Linked DNA regions of Tribolium castaneum. The protein of the gene in region 1 purifies or fractionates together with the protein of each later gene. This does not show direct contact. Links are inferred from orthologs where the notes say so. Each region holds a gene or a part of one and is shown in the gene's direction. Other genes may lie near its edges.

Region 1 (4,163 bases):
GAAAAAATCTAAAACAAGTCTAGAAAATGGTCACTGGCAGTGCTAGACTTCCCCGAAATTCGTATGTCCCGTACTTTGCGCATGCTCCCTTGCCTGCAATTGTCCATTAAGGAAAATATTACAATTCATGCATTTTAGCGTAAATTTGTTAACATCAGTGAATTGTCGACTCGACTTCGCCTCGCGCGCTAATTCCTGCGCCTCTTGTAAAACCTTATCATCATCAGTGGGAAAAATCGTCTGAATACTCGCCCCCTGAAACGAATCAAATAATTTTTTGATAACCCCCTGAGTAAGGAAATTACATCGGACGATTCCAAAAAAAGGGGGTCATAGTGTATACCATCAAACATTAGAAAAATTCGAAGTGTGTAATGCTGGTCTTCCCCGAACCGGTTGATAATAGCGTTGATCGTGTCTACGACGGCAATTTCGAACCCATAGTGATTCGAGAGAATGGCCAACTCGATGGCGCCCCCCCATGACTTGTCGTCCTGGATCCAGGCGCAATACTCACGGTTGGGTTTCCCCAAAATCGCCTCGGAAAACATCTCGGGGTCGCTGGCCACCGTTTCGGCAATCACTTGTCTCATGTAGGGGGCTGCCGTGCCACTCTCGTCCAGTTTCCCGTTCAGGGCGAAGTAAACACTACTGAAAAGACACGAGTTGTCGGCCGGCACCACCTTCTTCATCAGAATCCCCGGACAGTCGACACTTTCACTGATATGGCCCCGCAAGGGGGGCGCAGTCTCCCGGGCCTTCTCCTCCAAAATCAGGGTATCGCCCGACTTGAGACCACTGCGACTCAACTCGAGACCATCGTCCCCCAAGGCGAACGCCTTCGGGGGGAACCCTGACAACACATGGAGCCTGTCCTCGGGGATCTGCGATATGGAGCACAACTGGCGCTTCAAATCTTTGATCGTGTGCTCAGGTGTTAGGTTTTTGATCACTTGTTGCCCCGTTTTGGTTTTGACGCGCAAAGCGAACGACATGGTGCTCTCTGGGGGCTAATAACAATGACAGTTGGGAGTGACAAGTGACAGGAGAAGTGAGGTTAAGGGCGAAATTAAGGGCTTGGGGCCCGAATTTAGACGATTGGGGCGAAAGGGGGCAACACTTGGGCGCTTTATCACCGAGATAACATTTCAAAAGGGTTAAATAAACACAGGGATTTGGGGGGGCTAGGGACTTTCGCCGACTGACGCGAGATACCAACCACACTTTTTTAATTATTTCAAGACAGGAAAAAATTATCACGTTTTAGATCAGTCTCGTGTCACGATTAATACGTTCTAAGTACGGTTCTGATTATTTTTAATCCCCAATTTTTGTTTTTTCTCGACTAACAGTTATGCCAACTCAAGGACGGCCATTTTTATAACCAAAAATCAAGCCGTTTAAAAAGGGCCGTTTTTTGCATTAGTGTCCCAAAATAATTACTTCTTATCTAATTAGTGACTCAATAGTGTTGACCCAAGCATCATTATCGTGCTTTTAGTGGTATTGTTATAAAATTTAAGTTTTTGTCAAAAGTGAGGTTAGGTTTTTAACTAAAGAGTGCAAAAATGCCGCGTATAATGATAAAGGGGGGCGTTTGGCGCAACACCGAGGATGAGATCCTCAAAGCGGCGGTAATGAAATATGGGAAAAACCAGTGGTCTCGAATTGCCTCGCTCCTTCACCGCAAATCGGCCAAACAGTGTAAAGCGCGTTGGTTCGAATGGTTGGACCCCAGTATTAAAAAAACGGAATGGTCGCGGGAAGAGGACGAAAAGTTGCTACATTTGGCCAAGTTAATGCCGACTCAGTGGCGCACGATAGCCCCCATAATCGGGCGAACGGCCGCTCAGTGTTTGGAGCGCTACGAGTACCTCCTGGATCAGGCACAGAAGAAGGAAGAAGGGGAGGATGTCACGGACGACCCCCGGAAGCTCAAACCGGGGGAAATTGACCCCAATCCGGAAACCAAGCCTGCGAGGCCCGACCCCAAAGACATGGACGAGGATGGTAAGAGCTAACAAATGGGGTACATTTTTCTCAGTTTCAAAACACGAATTCAAAAATGCAATAAAAATTTCAAAACCGCAAAAGAATCACCCTGTATAGTATACTATAACGCAAAAAGGTTGGCACGCGTGTTTGTCGTTGCAGAGCTGGAGATGTTGTCCGAGGCGCGCGCCAGGCTTGCCAACACCCAGGGCAAAAAAGCGAAGCGAAAAGCGCGCGAAAAGCAGCTGGAAGAAGCGCGTCGATTGGCAGCACTGCAAAAAAGGCGCGAGCTTCGAGCTGCCGGCATCGAAGTGAATTCGCGTCGTAAGAAAAAACGCGGTGTTGACTACAATGAGGAAATCCCCTTCGAAAAACGTCCAGCGATTGGTTTTTACGACACTTCCACCGAAATTGTTGATCCAATGGCGCCCGATTTTCACAAAATGCGTCAACAACATCTCGACGGTGAACTGCGAAGCGAACAAGAAGAACGCGAACGTCGCAAAGATAAACAAAAATTAAAACAAAGAAAAGAAAATGATATTCCACAAGCGATGCTACAGAATCAAGAACCGGCGAAAAAACGCTCGAAATTGGTACTTCCCGAGCCGCAAATTAGCGATCTGGAGTTGCAACAAGTCGTAAAGTTGGGTAAAGCGAGTGAAGTTGCACGTGAAGTTGCAGCAGAGAGTGGAATCGAGTCGACTGATACGTTGTTCAATGATTATACGGTGGCGGCGCCACAAGCGGCAGCGGTGACTCCCCGAACTCCGGCACCGCAAACTGATCGGATACTTCAAGAAGCGCAAAATGTCATGGCTTTGACGCATGTGGATACCCCACTCAAAGGTAAAAAAAAAATCACAAAAAAATAAATAAATAATGACGTAACTCGAAGAGGAGCGAAAAAATCGAAAAATTTTATTCTTGAAAAAAAATTGCAATTTTGTAGTAGTTTACCGTCCACCAATCTGTTTTTTCAAAAAGTGAATAGTTTCGCCAAAAAATACTAAATTGCAAAGTTTGCCTCACCCGCTATATTGCTCAAAAATATCCCGAAATTAAGAACTTTTGTAAGTTCTTGATTTTTAAAAATGTGCGTAATAATAATTAAGAAAGGTACAAATAAATTAAAAAAAAATTTTTTTTTTCTTATAATACGAGCTAAATATAGAGATACAGTTAAAAGTTTTACTTTGTCACCTACCAATAAAAAAACTATTTAAGTCACAATAACTGAATACCCTGCCAAGAGCATGCCTATGTGACTTAAAATTGTTTGAAGATTCCAAATCTGTCTTTATTGGATGAAATATCAATTTTCTTGTTCATAATATGTAAAAAAAATAAAAAATAAAAAAATGAAATTGACATTAAATGACTTGTAGTTCTTTCTTTTTATTACTTTATTTGTCTCAATAACTTAATAACCAATAAAAAAATTTCTAGGTGGGTTACTACCTAAAAAATACCATAACTTCAAAACGAACGAAAAAATTAAAAAACTTTATACTTTGAAAAAAGTCCCATTTTTATAGTAGTGTACCATCCACTAATAACTTTTCCCAAAAAGTTAATAGTTTAGTCGCAAAACGCCAAACTGCAAACTTTGCCTCACCTTGTATATCTCTTTCAAAAGGGGGCCGAAACACGCCACTTCACAACTCGGATTTTTCGGGCGTTTTACCACAAGCCCTCACCATAGCCACTCCCAATACGGTCCTGGCGACCCCTTTCGGGGCCCAAACCCCCGGTTTCATGACACCGCAGGGCCCCCAAGGCAGTTTTACGCCTTCAGTTCGTGACAAACTCAATATAAATGAGGAAAACACCGAAATGGTGGCACAAACTCCAGCCGAACAGCGTTCGCTCCAAAACAATTTAAAAGAACAACTAAGACTAGGCTTAAGTAGTTTACCGACACCGAAGAACGACTACGAAATCGTCGTTCCCGAACAGGAAGAAGAGGAAAAAGAAGAAGAAAAAACGCCAAATATTGTCGAAGATCAGGCAGATGTTGATGCGCGAGCGCTTGAAGAAGCGAAAATTCGGGCGGCTCAGGAGTTAGCCCTGCGGTCGCAGGTGATTCAAAGGGGGCTGCCGCGCCCCCACGATGTAAATTTGGCCGTTTTGCGGCCGAATCACGAGTCGCATTCGTTGACCGAGCTGCA
Region 2 (4,020 bases), on another chromosome or scaffold:
ACCAGGCCGATGCGACTGTGGAAATTTCCGTCGCAGTTTCAAACAAAACGGAAGGAAAGCGGCCTTCCGGTATCAATCTTATAACACAAACTCACACTAATCCAACACAAAATAATCAAAAATCAAATAATTAACTCACCCATTGGAAAAATTCGATTAAAAATGAAATTTTCCCGCATATAAACAATAACAAACCACAGGTTATCAACCTTACCAACGCACAACTCCCAACTTGGAAGCGTTGGTAAAAGAGGGCAGCATAAACCACAAACGTACTGTCAAATTCTTCTGTCAATTATCTGTCTGTTTTGAAGCGTCCTCTAACGGTGTAGAGTAATTTAGCTCAAATGTTTAAACATAAATTTTTATATTTTTTTACTTTTATTATGTTTTTTAATTTATTGAACTAAATATTGATCTGTTGAAGCTGAAAACTATCAGAAGTTATAGGTACAACGTTTTTTCAAGGTTCGCTAAAATGTTAAATACTATGTTGAATATAAATTATTAGCTGTTTTAAAACTATAAAAACACCAACGTCGCATTTTACTAAATAATTTTTTTAAATAAGATTAATAAAAATGTAAAATAATTATTATTGATTAGCTTTCCCAAGTATAAATTACATTATCTATTATTTTTTTGAACTACATGAATAATTTATAACACCTAATTCAAAAAAAAATGCGACGTTAGCGTTTTTTTAGTTTTGAAACAGCTAATATATTTTATTTCAGTTTATCGCAGAATTCTGCAACAGCGCATTTGGATTTTTTGGAGTGAAATAAAGCACATATTGAAAGTTTCTTTATAAGAAAAAAATATATGTTAAGCTAAATCTCAGTAACAAATTTTGAGCCAAGAACCCAGAAACTTTCAATTTGAGCTCTACTTCACTCCAAAAAATGCAAATGCAAAATTCTACTATGAGTTGAAATGAGATATAAGCTGTTTCAAATCTATAAATTAGGTTTCATTAATCGTTCTTTTTGATCCGCAACCACAAGCGTTAGTTGTAATATAGATATTAACGTAATACATAATATTATAATACATAATAATAATACATAATATTTGTAAAAAATATAAGAAATAACTACAAAAGTAAAAAATATAAAAACAGTTTACACGCGTAAAATGTTGGTATAGAATTCTGTAAAGACCGCTTGTGGCGCCTCTAGTGGTTTGGAGTATTCATCAATTTTATTTTTTATTGCCATCTCTCTCTTCATTTTACGTTGAGCAAGCGTTTGTTAGCGTGTTTATTTAGCTTATTGTAAGAAAAAATAGTGAAAATGCCGGTTTTGGAAGCAAATAATCCAAATCCGGACGATCCCGGACCGATAAATCCAGTGGTGGGTATTATTTATCCACCACCAGAGGTGAGAAGTATCCTTTGTGAAAATTTCAGATTTGTCGGAAAATTCAGGTTAGATTGTATTTTTCCTGACAATTTGCTAAGATATCGTCGATAAAACAGCCAGTTTTGTGGCCAGAAACGGGCCAGAATTTGAGGCCAGGATCAGACAGAACGAATTAGGGAATCCGAAATTTAATTTCCTGAATCCTGGTGACCCCTACCATGCGTATTATCAGCACAAAGTCAACGATTTTCGAGAGGGGAAAGGTAAGGAACATAAAAATATATTAATCGAGTTGATCAGGTTAAAGTAGACCTATGGTTCTTTTATTAGGTTGGTCACACTGAAGAATATTTGTTCTTTAACCCGGCGTTACTCAGTTGGGGTGTGACAGACCCCAGAGTAAAAAAATGCTTTGGTTTTTTAGATAGGAATGTTATATGTATGCACCTTTCAGTAGATTGCAAAAACATTTCGAATATGATGTAATATATGATTTTCATATAATATAATATAATTTTCACCTGGCTGTTATAATATGTGTGTTGTAGCCGATTTTATGGCTCTGGGGTTTGTTACACCCCACTTACTTACGTTACTACTTTTTACCAAAAATTTTGCTCTATAAAACTAGGTAAAGATTTGACTTTTTTGAAATATTGGACTTTATGTAAAATCGAGTGTAAAATGCTTTGGTATAGTTTCAGAATAACAAACACATTCTTTGATGTGTGTGTCACACCCCACCTTAGTATTGGTGTCCTAAAAACTCACCTGAGTAACGCCGGATTAATAAAGTTTTTCAAACATTAACTAATTTTGAACACTTGTTTATAATGTGAATGTAAAGTGGAATTACTGTTTTTATGCAAAAAAAACCTTTTAGTTTACCGTTCAAGACAAATCGTTTCATTCATCATTTTTCTGCGAAAAACATTCAAGTTCAATTATAAAAAAAAATTATTCTCCTTTTTTATCATTGTTGGTATTTTCGTAGTATTATGTAGCCAAGGTCTGAAGGCGTTTCCGAGACGTAACTTTAACTTTGTAAATAAACAGTTAAGCTGTCTTATCTTTTCTCTAAACTCCATGAAAATACCAACAATTATTCAAGTTTAATGTGGTTTTCATTAAGGATCTTTTTTTTTGAAATTTTGTGAAAACTACACGTATGACATTGCTCTGGACTTCAGAATGCCAAACAAATCATTGGGTGGTATAAATAAAAATGAAGTAGATGCTAATACTACAGTCCAGTGGAGTAAAGACATGGGTGAAGTAAATGCTACTTTTTTAAGTAAATACTTTACTTTCGGGAACAAAAGACTATAGTTAAAAGTAGGCACTTCCTGTTATTAGCAGATACTTCTCCATAGTAGTATATCCCATTTCAGTTCATAGTAGAATTTTTTAACAGCGCATATGCATTTTTTAACATGAGAGTTTCTGGTGGGTTTTCTTAGCTCAAAGTGTGAATTCTTTTCTTATACAGAAACTCAATTTGGGCTTAATTTTTACTCCAAAATACTCACATCCGCTGTTGAAAAATGCAATTCTACTATGAACTGAAATTAAATATACCTACTTCGAAATATAATTAAAAAAATCAATATTTTACTTTAGACACATTACTAACAGAATCAAAAGAAAATTTGGAGTTTGAAGGAGGGCGAACAACTTCATACAGAATTTTAAAAAATATGAGTTACAGATTTCGTTTAGTTAATAGAAGAAAAATCTTTGTGAACAAAAACATGTTCTGATATCAAAAATTGTTTTTTTACGAAAATTTCTTCAGTACCAAAACTCTAAAACACTAAAAATTTTATTTTTGTATATTTGGATGAAAGGTGGATTTATCAAAATGGCAGCAATGTTCGACGGTGGGTTCACGAAGAAGACCTAAAAAGCAATCCTTCAAAAATTAAAAGTGAAGACAAAAGGTTCACTATATTATATGCGGGATGTCGGTTTGCTTTTTTGGAAGGATGTGACCTTTTAATGGATGTGGCGAATAATGACAGAGGCTATCACAAAACTATGAATGGAGAAATATTTCAAACATGGGTGATTAACCAATTAATTCCTGCTTTAGCAAAACTACCATTTAAATCTGTTGTGATAATGGATAGTGCTCCGTGTCACTCGATGCAATTGGAAAAAATGCCCACGTCGTCTTCTACCAAGGGTAAAATGTAGGTATGGTTGATTAATCATCATATAGAATTTGATTTAATACTTCACTAAAAATCAGTTGTAGGATTTAATAAAACCTTTAAAAGCAAATAATTAAAAACAGTACGTAATAGATAAAGTTTTAAATGACCATGGACATGAAGTTCTTTGATTACCCCCATATCATCGCTAGTATAACGCAATTCATTGGCATAGGGGTTTTCTAAGAACTATTATAATAAACATACAAATGAGCAACCTTTGGACAGAAATAAAGTTGCAAATCTATGGTCGGAATCACTCATAAAATGTACACCCGAAATGTGGCAAAATTTCTGTAAACACTGGGAATAATTAATTGCTTCAGATTGGACAAAACACATTGCAAATATTTCTCCATTTATTATTTCTCTAAGTGAGTCTGATTCAAAAACAGATTTTGATGTTTCAGATTCAGAAATTTAATACTTAACACTTGGAATAA
Region 3 (2,289 bases), on another chromosome or scaffold:
TGTGATACGTATTTGACAAATTTCGATTGAGGAGTACTTTTAATGCTGTCCGTTTGAGCGCTAAGTGCATACTTTATTTTTTGTAGAAGGTTTTTTTCTTCATTGCGTGGTAAAATGGCATCAAAAACGCAATGGTCTTAAATTAAAAAATTGGTATTTATTTCAAGGTGCGTTATGGTCAAGTTTAAGGTTTATTCAGAGTGAGAGAGTAAGAGAAAAGGTATATAGTATTGTTTTTACACACCATAAGATGTGAAACAGTTTTTGAGAACTGAGTTAGTTGGCGCAACAATTAATTTTAGTAAAATTATTATTTTTCACCCTTGACATCATTTTCGTATTAATTTCCAGATAATGGCGGCGGCAGTAACTTGGTGGTTCAAGTCGACACGATTTTTGTGTCTGGAATGAATCCAAATCTCACCGAAGACGAAATTGCTCAACATTTTGGTTCGATTGGCGTGATTAAAGTAAGTATTTGACTAAACTCAGCGACCTGCACTCTGTGCTTGGATTCACTTTCTTGACCAAGTTCAATTTTGATGTGTCGCAATATTATGACAGATGCTATTCCTTGATTGCAAGAAATATTTGCAAACAAGTGTATTCAATCTGCTACAAAGAATTCCATTTTTGACAAATTTGAAATGATTATTTCGTTCCGATTAGATGGACAAGAAAACCCAGAAACGGAAGATTTGGTTGTATAAAGATAAACAGACCGGACTTTCAAAGGGTGAAGCCACTGTTACGTATGACGATTCCAATGCAGCTCAATCAGCAATTTCTTGGTTCGACGGGAAAGAATTCGGTGGTACTCAAATAAGGGTACAGTTGGCCACGAAAAAGGATAATTGGAGTGGCGGTGGCGGCCGCGGAGGTGGAAGAGGTGGCGGCCGCGGGGGCGGTTTTGGAGGAGGCCCAAGAGGCCGAGATGGAGGTACGTGAGTTTGCAATTTTTTTAAAAGAAATTAATACCCCTTCCGACCCAGATTTGTCTAAAATAGGCCAAAATCTGTTTTTATTTTAAGGGGCAGATTAATTCCCCATTAAACACACAGTAGCAGTTTGGTTGCTTCTGATGTATCCTGTCTAGGGAAACATTTTTTTTATTTGATTGGCAAACAATAATTGTTTGGTATAGGTTTCGGCGGTGGTGGTGGAGGCGGTAGCGGCGGCGGCGGTGGTGGCGGTGGCCGAGACCGCGAAAGCCGCGAAGGAGACTGGAAATGTCCAAACCCAGACTGTGGCAACACAAATTTTGCTTGGAGGAATCAGTGCAATAGATGCAGTGAAGATAAGCCGGAAGGTGCCGGTTCCGGGGGTGAAGATCGCAGAGGAGGCGGCGGCGGAGGCGGTAGAGACCGTGACCGTGGAAGAGATAGAAGAGGTGGTGGCGGCGGTTTCCGCGGTGGTGATCGAGGAGGTCGCGGATTTGGCGGTGGAAGAGGAGGCCGAGGCGGTTTCGGCGGCGGTCGAGGAGGAGGCGGAAGGTATTTGTGACAAAATTTGGTGTAGGAAAGATTTTAATTTTGATGTTTAGGGATCGTGGCGGCGGTCGCGATGGAGGACGTTCCAGGCCGTATTAGAAGATTTTTTCCAAATAGATTCATGAGTGTTTTATTTCCATTACAGTATCATATTCATTTCAGTTTTTATAAGGTGATCTATAAGATTTAAAGCTTTGTGTTTTCTAGTAATTACACAACACGAGAAGTTGAGTGGTCACGAGTATGGCATGTTTAGTGAATAATTATTTTATGTATAATACATTTTTAAGTACAAATTACTTTTTGTTATAGTATGACCTTTCCTAATTCCATTTTCCTGCAAAGTCAAAAAATAACTCATAAACAACTTTTTTCTTCAAAACTTCACAATAACGAATTTTTAATAAATGGTATCTGGCGATTAACTGTTTCAAGATTATAAAAACGCCAACGTCGCATTTTACCGAATTATTTCTTTAAATAAGATTCACAACATTGTAAAATGGTTATTGGGGATTAGATCTCTCATTGAAGGTATAAATTAACATTAGCTATTATTTTTTTGAAATGCATGAATAATTTATAACAGCTAATTTTGAGAGAAAATACGACGTTGGCGTTTTTATAATTTTGAAACGGCCAATACGCTGTCTAACAGTCGTGATCGCAATAGATTTTGATCAACAATAAAATAAGTATTTTTGGAACGGTTTCCTAGGAAATAATTTCCAGTGTTGGCACATCAACAAATTGTGATTTTTTTGAGAAATTTTATATTCAAGAAACTTAGTCTGATAGT
Region 4 (2,805 bases), on another chromosome or scaffold:
AACTCAGGGGAAGTCCTTGCCTAAGGACTGCCGACCGGAAGCGAGCGCAGCCTTCTCACATATTTTCGGTAACGACCGCAGGCTGCATTTCCATAATTATTTAATAAAGTGGGATATTTATAGACGCTGTGTATGCAGCGCTGCTAAATTAGGCGATTTGCAGTACTGTTCCGAAGACACTCGCACTTTTATTCCAATTAGCATAAGTAAACAAGGCAACAATTGCATTCTTTCAGGTGGGTGGCATTATACAATTATTACACATTGCGTATTTAAAGTGGGTCCTTCAGAAATTTGTGATGTGAGAAACCTTTCCCTCAAGTACAATTCGGCTCACAATTAATTATCATCAGGTGGTAATAAATCTTATCGCGAAACGCGCATTCTTCAAGTCTCATTAGCTCGGAAAAGTCACAAGGAAATTTTCTTCCAGATTAAGAATGGAACGAGTTTTATCACTCATCGGCGCGTAATTGGTGTAAGTTCAATGGAAATAAACCCGTTCGGTTTGGATAAACATTTGTGACGTCAATGAATAATTTGGCTCTTGTTTTTTGCTCTAAGGGGAAGTGAAGAAGACAATGGCTTGATTCGTTTCACGAAATCATTTTTTGATTAATTAATGACGATGCGGGGAATCCGACAGATAATAATACTTCAAACGTACATTCCACACATTCATTGTGTTTTTCTTATTGTTTAGCAACTTTTTTTAGCCAGAATTAGCATATTTGTGACCAACACAAATCGCTGAAATAAGTGTTGGCAGACGTGTTTTTGTATATAGTGAAGCCTTTGAATCCGAGCCATTTTTGTTTGGGGTTTTCCCGATTATGAAATTAATTTTTTCTTACCTAATTAAAATAAATAAATAACTGAAGCAGGACTTTTTATTACAAAATACAATAATGTAACATACGGAGTATATTATCAAATTATCATTATCAGCTGTTAACAGTTAAAAGTAAGTTTGTTTTTCGGGTTAGAAGGGGTTCGGATTAACGACGTTTTCCTGTATTTTTTCATATTTAGATTCCATGTTTTGATACAAAAATTAAATTATTAATTATTTGGTCCCAATGATTGATATTTATTGCTTCATCTTAATTTTGGAAATTTTTGGAAATTCAGGGAAATTGCGTTTGGGGCGCTCTCTACAGGTATTCGTGTAACAATTACAGAAACCTGTAACGGTAGTCGGTGAAATTGATGGCTTGTGCGTTGTTTGTTTAATTGTAATTTTTCGCTAAAACCTAATTATGGTGAAGCTAACAGCCGAGCTGATTCAAAATTCCATGCAATACATAAATCCGGTAAAAGACCGCGAGTTGGACTTACGAGGTGAGGACCAAATGTAAAAAAGTTGGGTTAAGTCATCTTTTTTTAGGTTATCGCATCCCCGAAGTGGAAAATCTGGGGGCCACCGGTGACCAGTTCGACACAATTGACTTTTCGGACAATGATGTGCGCAAGTTGGATGGTTTTCCGTACTTGAAGCGGTTGAAATGTTTGCTTTTTAACAATAACCGTATTGTGTAAGTTGTGGGGTTTTTTCGTTTTTTTTTTTTGAGTTTTGGGGTTTTAGACGCATTGGGGAGCATTTGGAGGAGTACATTCCTAATTTGGAGACGCTGATTTTGACTGGGAACCACTTGGAAGAGCTGGGTGATATTGAGCCGTTGTGCACTTTGGAGAAGCTCACCACAGTTAGTCTTTTACATAACCCTATCACTTCCAAGCAGCATTACAGGCTATACCTAATTTATAAGTTACCGCAGTTAAGGTTGCTCGATTTTCGTAAAGTCACAGCTAAGGAACGGGAAGAGGCGAGGGCTCTGTTTAAGAGTAAGAAAGGCAAGGAGATTAGGAAAGAAATTGGGAAAAGGGCAAAGACGTTTATTCCCGGAGGTACAGGTAACAGTATTGCCAAAAGTAAAGGTACGTCTTACATTTTCTGTGAGTTTTATTTTTTCAATTTAATTATTTTTTCAAGGCCTTACAGACGAAGAAATTGCGAAAATTCGTGAAGCTATCAATAAGGCCAGTTCTTTGGAAGAGGTTGAACGGTTACAGAAGATTTTACAGTCTGGTCAAATTCCTGGTCAAGAAGAAATGAACGGTTAATTTTTTCTATGATTTATTGTGGGAAATGTAATATTTTTTTTCAGGATATCAAAATGGACAAAGTATGGAATATGAATAAGTTTGAGGTAATTTTCAGTCAGGTGTACAATTAATTAGTTTTATTTATAAGTTCCGGTTGATAAGAGTATTGTACTACACTAAATACAAGGTTGAGAAGCGAGCGGAATTAATTTTTCATTTTTTCTAATAAAGCAATACGTACAATAACTGGGTATTATTTCAATCTTTCCCGACTGAAACAATGCCTTTCTGGCAAGATTTATCTGTTTCAGAAATTAATTGAACGAAATAAGCTAACAACAAATTTTGTTTTGCAGCTAATTTTTCGAAGAAAATTAGTTTTTAGTTTTCACAGCGAGCAAAAGTAATGTTAATTACAGAAATAAACCAGTTTTTTAAATTTTGCGGATTTTAAATTTGTCTGTAAACATGTAAAAAATAAAAAATTGTTTTTATCTCAAAACCGTCTTGCGAATACTTTTTAGTGGCTACTCGTGTCATTTTAAGAGCGCCTTGGAAATTGTGTCTAAAGTGACCGAAATACTTTTCAAAGTGTGTGGTAATAGTGGTTTTAGAATATTTCAAAGTTCAAATAAATTTTTTCATTTCAGAATGTTTTAGTTGATTTGGAATTATTTCTATAACAATTCGCGTCACTTA
Region 5 (3,278 bases), on another chromosome or scaffold:
TTCCACATTTGTGAAAGTAAGTAGTATATGGGCTATATGGCGCTTCATGAGTCTGTTTTTTCTAACATTGTTGGTCTGCGTATTTTATGATTTTTTTAATTGTCATATATTTTTCGTAATTAGCAGCCTCTCTACGGGTGTCTTTTGTTGTATTAAATCTTCGAGCAATTTGGGCCCATGTTCCATTTTTTTCACCGAACGTAATCAAGTATCTTTTTTATAATTTTGAACAAAATTGACCATATTTTTTTTGCGTTTAAAATTGCTACTTCGGTTTCTTTAATTTATCTGTTAACGATTTCAATAAAATTATAAAGTTATGTATATTAATAACGTTAATATTAAAAATGTTAAGCGATAAGCCAATGCTTAAGCGGCCAACATCGACCGGTTAGTTAAACCAATACTAAGCTTTAGCTTAGTCGATATTTCGTATCTGACCACACGGTGCCCCTAGTTTGGGACACCTCTCATTAAAAATTCCTACATTTGATCCTTAAATTCGATTAGGCGTATGAAGGTTATCAATTGTACCAAATTTTGTATTTTTATCTGAAACGGTTTCTGAAATATTGAGGAAAACCTACATGTTTATAGGAAATTTATGATTAAAAATAAATGTTCTATTACCTATTATACAAATTTGTAACAATAAAAACAGAACAGCCTGCATATCGGGCAATAACTCCGGAAGTATTAGACGTAATCTTATTAAGTTTATTCAAGTCAACCTCTTCATATTCTACTATAAAAATGGCCAGCTGAATTCAAACTTGGTCGCACATCTCTCAATGATGAGTTTTGTGAAGGATGACCAAAACAGTAACCACGGATAAAAACCTCAAAAAAATGCAAATTTCGATATTGGATAATCAGCGAATGAAAGTGTATGAGGTAGCTAAGGTGATAGGGATATCTGAGAAAAGGGTGTAGTTTATTTTGCACCAAGAATTAGATACGAAAAAATAGTGTGTGAAAGGGTGTCGCAAAGGCGCTCTGGCAATGGAAAAATTGACGAATTAAAAACATGAATTATTAGAACATTCTTTATATTCGCCTGATTTGACTTCCCCAGACTTCCACAATTAAAAAAAAAATGTGATTAGGAGAAATTATCACTCGAATGAGGAGGTAATAGCGACTATAAATAAGTATTTTGCAGAACTACCAGAAAGTCACTTCAGGGATGGGATTAAAAAACTAGAAACACATTGCACTAAGTGCGTTGAACTAAATAGAGATTATACTACAAAATAAATGCATATATTTGAATTAAAAAAAAACGAAGTCTTTTAAGATGAAAAAAATCGTAACTTAAAAACTATTGGGAATGTGGTGATTTTATCGACACCAATCGATTCCCCGGATCTTTTTACATAGGCTTACATCAAAATATTTACAATTGAATTTTTGCAGGGTTGCCACCGTCGGGCTCGTGGCAGGACTTGAAGGACCACATGCGGGAGGCTGGAGACGTGTGCTTCGCGGACGCGTTCAAGGACGGTTCAGGCGTTGTGGAGTTTCTCCGATACGAAGACATGAAATATGCTATAAAGAAATTGGACGATTCGAGGTTTAGGTCACATGAGGTAAGAGTTGTTTGGTTGTTGAGGGATTTGTGTTTTAATTTGGCGTCAGGGGGAGGTTTCGTACATAAGGGTGAAGGAAGATCGTGGGGGGAGTGATAGACGGTCAGGGGGAAGGTCACGCAGTCGTTCATATTCGCCCCGTCGGAGGGGTTCCCCAACATACAGTCCGGTCAAAAGGAGTTACTCCAGAAGCCGTTCTCGCTCCTAATTTAATCTACTCTACGGACTGGCCTTTTTGTATAATGTACGTATCAAAAAAACCGGGGATTTTTTTAATTTGATTGATTTAAAAAAAATGCAAGAGAAAAAAAGCGGTTGGTAACCCTGGAATTTGTATTTGTAAATGTGGGTATTTTAATTCTTCTGACATTCCTGGAAGAATCGTTTTTTTCTCTCCTCCATTCTTGTAATTTTTTAGACTTAAATTTTATAAAAATTTTCAATTAGGTTAGAGTACGGATAAGGCACTAATATGTATTGTTTCTTTTTTCTGTTACCGTACAATTTGCTGAGTCAATCAGCGTTGGACTGGTTTTTGGAAAAAATAATAAAGTCGATAGTAAAATAATAGACAATAAAATGTTATCTTTGACACACCCGGATGCAAGAGGAGTGGATGAATGTTGTTAGGAGGGAGTCTCAAAGATCGTGGAGGAGGATATTTAAACTTTTAACACACTAAGCATTGCATTTTTCGGAGTGTTGAGAGGACACCACACAATTAAATGGCTCGGTAAATAAGTTATTCAATTTTTCTAACAATGAAACACAATCATTTCAAAAAATTAACTGACACGTTTCTCATTGAAAAAACAGTGTTTAAACGAGATGTTTTGCAATGCGATAGGTCTCACAAACACGGGATTTTGATCTCCACTTCACCGGAAGGAAAGGACAAACTCCTAGGATTAGGATTTTTTAAATAAATTGTAGTAATTTTCGGGGGATTTTAATACTTTTCCTAGGATTTTGGCGATGAAGTGGATTTAAAACTGTTTGAGGATTAGGATAGGATTACTAGGATTAGGATGAGTGTACCGGAAGGACCTCGTGGATTTGTTCCCAGGTATTTGAGACTTCTTTTTCGTTTTTTATTAATATTTTTTTATCATTTTGCTTGACAAAAAGTGTGGCTTTTTGTTGTTTTCACAATTGCATGTTTATTTCAATAAAAAATTCTCAACTACAACGTCTTTTATTCATTATCATATATCCTAACGATATCCAGCGGTTTGGCGGGAAGATTCGTAACCGGACACTTCTGGTTGTCCCTCAAATACCGCAAAATGCAAGGAAAGCAAAACACGTATCCGGAAACAGGAAGAACAGTCGGTATTTTCCAAAATTGTAAACAAATCGGACATTTATTGTGATAATTTCGGGCTTTCCCATCGAGCTAAACAATCAAATTAGCACTACTACCAACACTATCACTAGACTCACCATTGGTGGTTTAACAGTTGGCAGCGCCGTCACACTATAATTCTGGTGAGCGCTCCAGGCTTGCAAAAACTGCAAGAAAAACGCCCCAAACTCGAAGGTACTTGTAACCGCGTTTTTCAAAATATTCAATTGCCACAAATCCGCCAAATGCCCTTTGAATAAAAGCGACCAGAAACTTGGCTCAGGTGGAAGTGGCTCCGAATACGCCAACTTGACATCAATCAATTGAAGAATCGGCAATTGAGC
Region 6 (2,673 bases), on another chromosome or scaffold:
AAATACAATCAATTTCGGTGTAATTTGACAATTTTTCAACCAAAACTTATTGAAAATGTTTTGCTTTTTGTTAAACATTCAAAAAAAACATTTAGTCTTTGGCCTGTTTTTAACAAATTTCTGTGGTAAATATCAGCATTTTTCCTGAAAAGTTGTTAAAAGGAATTTATTTAGGACATTTTGTGAAAATAAGAAAATTTCAAGAGTTAGATTACGTCAAAATAGCGAAAAACTCGACAAATTCGGTATTTTTTTTCCTACAACAATGATATTTGTATTAAAGTTCTGGTTTAATAGTTATTTACGTAATCAGTTATGAAAAATCGATTTTGTTTGACGAGGATAATGTTTGCCAAAACGAGTGAGCGCAGCGAACAGGTTTCACAAATTAGGTAAGTTAAACTGTAAGCGGCTTTTAATAACGTACAAAATTCTTCCTAATTACGTCGTAAATTAAAATTTTATTCCCGCAATTTTATTTAAATAAAGAAAAAAAACCCTAAACAAGTTAGAAAATGGTCCAAAAATGACCAAATGTAAGCAACTTTTGGTACGGTTTGTAATTAATAAGGCATTTTATAAAAAAAATTGGTCAAAAGTTTTGCGGCATTAAACAAAATAAAAAATTACAGACAATGAACAACAATAACAACGATGTAAAACAACTCTTGGCTCGAGTTTGCATCCATTTGGCTAAAACCGTACCACAGGAGAAGATGTCTTCAGATTTGTTGAAGCTGCTTTTACCAACGTTAGTCAACGGAACTAAAGAGAAAAATGGTTATGTTAAGGCAAACTCAGAACTTGCATTGATTGCGGTTTTGAGGCTAAAAGATGGCGACGCTATGCAACAGGTAAATCTTCATTTTAAATGATTTTGTCTAAGATTTTACCGTTTAAAAATTGAATAATCTGGCTCCTGGCGACCCATTTTTGGACACAATTTACAAAAAAGGCGCATAATATCACTGAATTTCTATAAATTAGTCTATACTAGAGTTCCTTTATTGGGAGAGTTGGGACACTGAACGTCAAACCGAGCCAATTTTGTATTATGTGGATAAGGTATTCGGAAGTAAAATTACCGTTGGGGGCGCCACTGAGCTAGGTCGAAAACAGTAACCATAAATGGCGGGAAAATGTTTATTCGAATATTTTGAGCGTTGTACGAATTTTGGGGCTTCACAATTATTACATTGCCTATGCGGAATGATTATTGCATCTTTGATGCAAGAAACTTATGTTGACAAATGAGAGATGACGAGGAAAACACGAATAACGAATGACTGTTTGGTTCACTTTCTTTATTGGAAAATTATTACAAAGACATTGAAAAGCCTACCTTTTGGCATAATTTACGTTTAAATGTATCAGCAGTTGTTAATCTTTATTGTAGTTTTGTAGATTTACCGCAGCATTTCATGATTTTTTCAGTGGAAAATTCTAACCTAAAATTCACACACTTCACTAATTTATTGATTTCTTGGGCCAAAGTTTGTGTTCGCTGTGATCCATTACTTATAATCTTTAATTAGAGAACTGTTTGATAACACTTTGTAATTAAAATTTAAATATTTTTCACTTTTTATCCACTTTCAATTTCCAACAATAAACACTTTATACCACGAAAAACTACAGAACCAAAGTCAACGCTAGTATTTACCACTACGTACTTTAAAAGTGATAATTTCTATTCTAAGTAATTAACACTATACACGCAAAATTGTTGAACAATTCATTAAATTCAATTAAATGTGGAATTACGAAAATTTCTTTACTGTTTTCGACATAGTTCAAATGTCATCACCAGAGGGAGTCTAGTTAATTTTATTTCTGAATAGGAACTCTAGTCTATACTTGATTTATTTGTCTTTTTAGCGATGTCTGAGTATTCTGGACGTCGGCGCTCGCGAATCCCTCGCTGACGTCGTCAGTAAAGTCCTCAAAAAGATAATGTCGCAGCCTGAGGGAAAGGAAGAGGAGCTCGACGACACTTTACTGACTTGATTATTAGGGTCACGCAACGGAGCAAACAACACGTTGATTTGTTGTATCCCTGCGTTTTTGATCATTTCCGGTGTTCGTTTCTTCATTTTGTTCCCTTTGAGTTTTAATATATACGATTTTGTAAATTTTGTTTTAAATACAATAATAATAAATGAGAAAAAAAATCGTTTTATTTATTTACAATAAATTGTAAACAAAATGACAAACATTTACAAAAACAATTAATAATCGTCACCACGTGACACCACTTCTTTGCAGGTTGGACGAAGCATGATGGTGTGTTCGAATTGAGCTGTGTAACAACCCTTGATGTCACATAGAGGTGGGTATGCGTCTACGACACCTTTGTCACATAAATCCTTCAAAGCCATTTGGTATTTGGTCGCGCCTGCGCGGTCCAACCATCGCTTACAGAACGCCAATGTTCCGAAGTTCTTGTTTATAATGTTTAGAAGGGTTTTTGACGATTGGAGACTGAAAATTGCAAACAATGTTAAAATTAACAAAAATAATTGTTTAATATTATTATTCTTGTGTGTTTATTGAGACAATTTCAACAGGTTAATGAAATTAAAGATATGGTAATTTCTCTACGTTTCGCTCATTTTTTTAGCTTCTTCAGGACAGTACTGTCAAGGGCGTTGGAAATATAGCAAGAAATTACTT
Region 7 (3,500 bases), on another chromosome or scaffold:
GTTAAAGAGCTAATCAGAAATTTAACATTTTTGAAAAATTCAATTAAAGCACAGTGTAAAAATGCACGGACTTTATTTTTATAATAGAACATTAGAAAGTCTTTTGTTCTTAATATTAAAATTATTATAAATTAAAATTGTTTTTTCTTGTAGTTTGCGGAAGACTTAACAATGTTTGACATTAGAAAAAAAATACGTAAAGCAAGGGCTTTATCATATTACTATTTTATAAAAAATTCAATTTACTAGTTGTTGAAATAGGTTATTTTTTGTAGGTATCACGCCCCAAATGTGGTTTACATTAAGACAGAAGATCCCGATCTCCCAGCCTTTTATTTTGACCCGTTAATAAACCCAATCTCGCACCGACATGCCGTCAAAAGTTTGGAACCTCTACCCGAAGACGACGAAGAATACATTTTACCAGAACATGTGCAACCCTTTTTGCAAGAAACACCACTTTATACAGATAACACAGCTAACGGTATTGCCCTGTTATGGGCTCCTCGTCCATTTAACTTGCGTTCAGGTATTCATTATTTTATTTAAACGTAGAGAAAAAATTTATTTTAATACTTGTAGGACGTTGTCGCCGGGCCATTGATGTACCATTGGTCAAAACATGGTACATGGAACATTGTCCTCCTGGACAACCGGTTAAAGTGCGCGTTAGTTACCAGAAATTGTTAAAATACTATGTTCTTAACGCGCTTAAACACCGGCCTCCTAAAGCACAGAAAAAACGCTACTTGTTCCGTTCATTCAAATCCACCAAATTTTTCCAAACTACTACACTTGACTGGGTTGAAGCTGGTTTGCAAGTTTGTAGGCAAGGTTACAACATGCTCAACTTGCTCATTCACCGGAAAAATCTCAATTATCTTCATTTGGACTACAACTTTAATTTGAAACCTGTCAAGACTTTGACGACAAAAGAACGTAAAAAATCCAGATTTGGGAATGCTTTCCATCTGTGTAGGGAAATTCTACGTTTGACTAAACTCATAATAGACTCACACGTTCAATACAGACTTAACAACGTTGATGCGTTTCAACTGGCTGATGGTTTGCAGTACATTTTTGCCCATGTCGGTCAATTGACTGGCATGTACAGATACAAATACAAGTTGATGAGACAAATCAGAATGTGTAAAGATTTGAAACATTTGGTATATTATCGTTTCAATACGGTAAGAGTTTGTGAAATTTTATAAATCGGAAGTTAGAAATTATTTTTATACAGGGTCCAGTTGGGAAAGGTCCAGGTTGTGGATTTTGGGCTCCAGGTTGGAGGGTTTGGTTGTTCTTTATGAGGGGAATTACACCTCTGCTTGAACGTTGGCTCGGCAATTTACTGTCACGGCAGTTTGAAGGCAGACACTCCAAAGGTGTTGCTAAAACTGTGACCAAGCAAAGGGTTGAGTCTCACTTCGATCTTGAGTTAAGAGCTTCAGTTATGCACGATATTGTCGATATGATGCCTGAAGGTATCAAACAGAATAAAGCCAGGACCATTTTGCAGCATTTGTCCGAAGCGTGGCGGTGTTGGAAGGCCAATATTCCTTGGAAAGTAAGTTTCCTTTGTTCATTTTTTTTCAATTAAATATACGGACAGTGTTTTGCTATAAAAAATAGAAATTAAAAACATAACTGCATACAATGAACATTACAATAGCTAACATTTAGAAATTAAATGAAGGTTTTTAGGAATGAAATTTATTTTAATATACTAGTTAACAAATTTCTTAACAATTACAATCCGCTTTAACACAAAACTTGGCTTTGGTTCCAAAAAAAAAATCGGTAATAGACTGGTTGAAATCGGTTATAAAGTGATCTCAACAGAGACAACATGTAGTGTTCCAGGCGTTTGATTTACTTTAGTTTCGAACTGTTTTTTAAGCTAGTTAAAAGGTTATTAAACAATCTTGCGGCGTGTCTAAATCAAGTTTTTAATGAAAATATTGGGGTTTATTCAATTACATAACACATGTGGCATGCATTTTTGTTCATTTCAATTTTGTATAATGTAAAAAAAATATATTTTGTATCAGAAGAGTTAAAAAACATAAAATAACTTCAGTACAAGCAGTTTAGAGAAGCTTAAGGTTTTCTTTAGATAAACAGTTGTGGGAGACATTATTTTTTTACAAGATGTAAAATATGTTTTACAACTATTCTGTTGATTAAAATTTCATCGAAGTTATAAAAACCAAGACACACTTCGTTTTATAATGTCTCTTTGTGTTTTAAAATTCTATTAAATTCCAACACTTTGTATAACTATTTAGTTAGTTTAGTTAGTTTAATTGGACAGACCATAATAAATAAATAATGCTGCCATTTTTTGACAAATTAAGTTGAAAAAAATATTAGGGGTTGATTTCATTAACGATAAATAAATCGCCAGTTAGTTATTTGACCAATAATGTTTTAGAAAAACTGAAAAAAAAATCTTTATTAAATTTTACTCTACAGGGTATTAATGTTCGGACAGAAAACTGTTTTACAGATTTAATATTAAGTTACGTCTCCTTTCCTTTCCTGATTACTTGAACCTTGGTCGGGATAGTTTTTACTAGGTCTCAACAAAATTCAGGAGTAAAATGGTGCATAAATCTTGTCTTGTTCCTATTGAATGATTTTATAAATGGTTATTCATTTCGTTCCAAAGTTTTGATAATATTTACTTATTAGATACGAACTATTTGAAACAGTTTATGTTATGTTCTCCATACTATTTTTTATTTGTTGTTTCACATGCTCTTCCATCTTGTAGAAAAATAAAAACACATTGAAAAATTACATTTTTTGGTTACATAATATAATTATAATAATATAATGTCACGGTAATTGTCAACGTTTGCTTACATTTTGATTTGATTTAACTTTATGCAAAATCTGTCAATATCGTTCCAAAATATCATTTTCTAATTTGCTTTTTAACTTTTGCAATGAGTAAAAAGATTAGTTTGAAACAAAGTTCGTTCAATGAAAATAATAATAATAATGCTAAAGAATTCTAGACGTGCGCAAGATCAAGAGCTTTCAAATTTGAAATTATTTCAAAAATTATTTTTTCAAAGCTTACGACAAAATACAAATTGTTAAACCTATATCAAGTTTAGTTTCACAAGAACGGTGTTCTCTTTTTGATAATAATTATTTTTTTTTAATTTTGGTGTTATAGTAAAATTGTTACTTAACATAATTTTCTGTCTTGTTCATAATCTTACTATTTTTCATTTTTGTCATACACTTTCTCTGTATTACCTGTTTACATAAAATAATCATTCATAATACTTCTGTTATGAGTAAATACATCTAGGACCTTTAACATATTTTTGTTGTTTTTAAAGTATTCACAATTATTTATAACGATTTTGGGAAAATTATTAATCAAATAACAAATTGTTATTTTATGGATGTTTAAATTAATATCAACTCTTTATTTATTACTGTTTTGTTTAAAAAGATAAGCCACTTAGAAAATAAAAACT

What was found.
Region 2: the proteins of Cdc5 (region 1) and Sf3a1 purify together in Homo sapiens (affinity purification with mass spectrometry; 3 studies listed by BioGRID and IntAct, with this or other methods). This does not show direct contact. The link is inferred for Tribolium castaneum from reciprocal best matches to the Homo sapiens genes CDC5L and SF3A1.
Region 3: the proteins of Cdc5 (region 1) and RNA-binding protein cabeza purify together in Homo sapiens (affinity purification with mass spectrometry; 4 studies listed by BioGRID and IntAct, with this or other methods). This does not show direct contact. The link is inferred for Tribolium castaneum from reciprocal best matches to the Homo sapiens genes CDC5L and FUS.
Region 4: the proteins of Cdc5 (region 1) and U2A purify together in Homo sapiens (affinity purification with mass spectrometry; 5 studies listed by BioGRID and IntAct, counting the BioPlex papers as one, with this or other methods). This does not show direct contact. The link is inferred for Tribolium castaneum from reciprocal best matches to the Homo sapiens genes CDC5L and SNRPA1.
Region 5: the proteins of Cdc5 (region 1) and SF2 purify together in Homo sapiens (affinity purification with mass spectrometry; 4 studies listed by BioGRID and IntAct, with this or other methods). This does not show direct contact. The link is inferred for Tribolium castaneum from reciprocal best matches to the Homo sapiens genes CDC5L and SRSF1.
Region 6: the proteins of Cdc5 (region 1) and stalled ribosome sensor GCN1 purify together in Homo sapiens (affinity purification with mass spectrometry; 3 studies listed by BioGRID and IntAct, with this or other methods). This does not show direct contact. The link is inferred for Tribolium castaneum from reciprocal best matches to the Homo sapiens genes CDC5L and GCN1.
Region 7: the proteins of Cdc5 (region 1) and Prp8 fractionate together in Homo sapiens (co-fractionation; 5 studies listed by BioGRID and IntAct, with this or other methods). This does not show direct contact. The link is inferred for Tribolium castaneum from reciprocal best matches to the Homo sapiens genes CDC5L and PRPF8.

The regions. Positions count from the first base shown.
Region 1 is NC_087400.1:3,567,162-3,571,324, reverse strand, and holds the start of Cdc5 (cell division cycle 5-like protein), read left to right. Parts: upstream 1-1,363; 5' UTR 1,364-1,568; coding exon 1,569-2,010; intron 2,011-2,154; coding exon 2,155-2,841; intron 2,842-3,631; coding exon 3,632-4,163. Other genes in the region: Yod1 (ubiquitin thioesterase Otu1), read right to left, coding at 43-255, 306-995.
Region 2 is NC_087397.1:12,582,887-12,586,906, reverse strand, and holds the start of Sf3a1 (splicing factor 3A subunit 1), read left to right. Parts: upstream 1-1,220; 5' UTR 1,221-1,295; coding exon 1,296-1,389; intron 1,390-1,462; coding exon 1,463-1,627; intron 1,628-4,020. Other genes in the region: peroxidase, read right to left, coding at 140-179. UniProt on the Homo sapiens protein: Component of the 17S U2 SnRNP complex of the spliceosome, a large ribonucleoprotein complex that removes introns from transcribed pre-mRNAs.
Region 3 is NC_087395.1:19,586,664-19,588,952, reverse strand, and holds the end of RNA-binding protein cabeza, read left to right. Parts: intron 1-351; coding exon 352-470; intron 471-669; coding exon 670-940; intron 941-1,144; coding exon 1,145-1,493; intron 1,494-1,543; coding exon 1,544-1,589; 3' UTR 1,590-1,789; downstream 1,790-2,289. UniProt on the Homo sapiens protein: DNA/RNA-binding protein that plays a role in various cellular processes such as transcription regulation, RNA splicing, RNA transport, DNA repair and damage response. Binds to ssRNA containing the consensus sequence 5'-AGGUAA-3'.
Region 4 is NC_087395.1:21,925,132-21,927,936, forward strand, and holds U2A (U2 small nuclear ribonucleoprotein A'), read left to right. Parts: upstream 1-1,173; 5' UTR 1,174-1,259; coding exon 1,260-1,341; intron 1,342-1,387; coding exon 1,388-1,535; intron 1,536-1,585; coding exon 1,586-1,938; intron 1,939-1,993; coding exon 1,994-2,119; intron 2,120-2,168; coding exon 2,169-2,203; 3' UTR 2,204-2,305; downstream 2,306-2,805. UniProt on the Homo sapiens protein: Involved in pre-mRNA splicing as component of the spliceosome. Associated with sn-RNP U2, where it contributes to the binding of stem loop IV of U2 snRNA.
Region 5 is NC_087401.1:8,584,845-8,588,122, reverse strand, and holds the end of SF2 (serine/arginine-rich splicing factor 1A), read left to right. Parts: intron 1-1,416; coding exon 1,417-1,589; intron 1,590-1,638; coding exon 1,639-1,797; 3' UTR 1,798-2,778; downstream 2,779-3,278. Other genes in the region: Pex12 (peroxisome assembly protein 12), read right to left, coding at 2,785-2,985, 3,033-3,278. UniProt on the Homo sapiens protein: Plays a role in preventing exon skipping, ensuring the accuracy of splicing and regulating alternative splicing.
Region 6 is NC_087395.1:1,243,689-1,246,361, reverse strand, and holds the end of stalled ribosome sensor GCN1, read left to right. Parts: intron 1-632; coding exon 633-854; intron 855-1,878; coding exon 1,879-2,007; 3' UTR 2,008-2,173; downstream 2,174-2,673. Other genes in the region: und (methionine aminopeptidase 2), read right to left, coding at 2,229-2,481. UniProt on the Homo sapiens protein: Ribosome collision sensor that plays a key role in the RNF14-RNF25 translation quality control pathway, a pathway that takes place when a ribosome has stalled during translation, and which promotes ubiquitination and degradation of translation factors on stalled ribosomes.
Region 7 is NC_087394.1:7,714,791-7,718,290, reverse strand, and holds part of Prp8 (pre-mRNA-processing-splicing factor 8), read left to right. Parts: intron 1-275; coding exon 276-529; intron 530-582; coding exon 583-1,190; intron 1,191-1,243; coding exon 1,244-1,570; intron 1,571-3,500. UniProt on the Homo sapiens protein: Plays a role in pre-mRNA splicing as core component of precatalytic, catalytic and postcatalytic spliceosomal complexes, both of the predominant U2-type spliceosome and the minor U12-type spliceosome.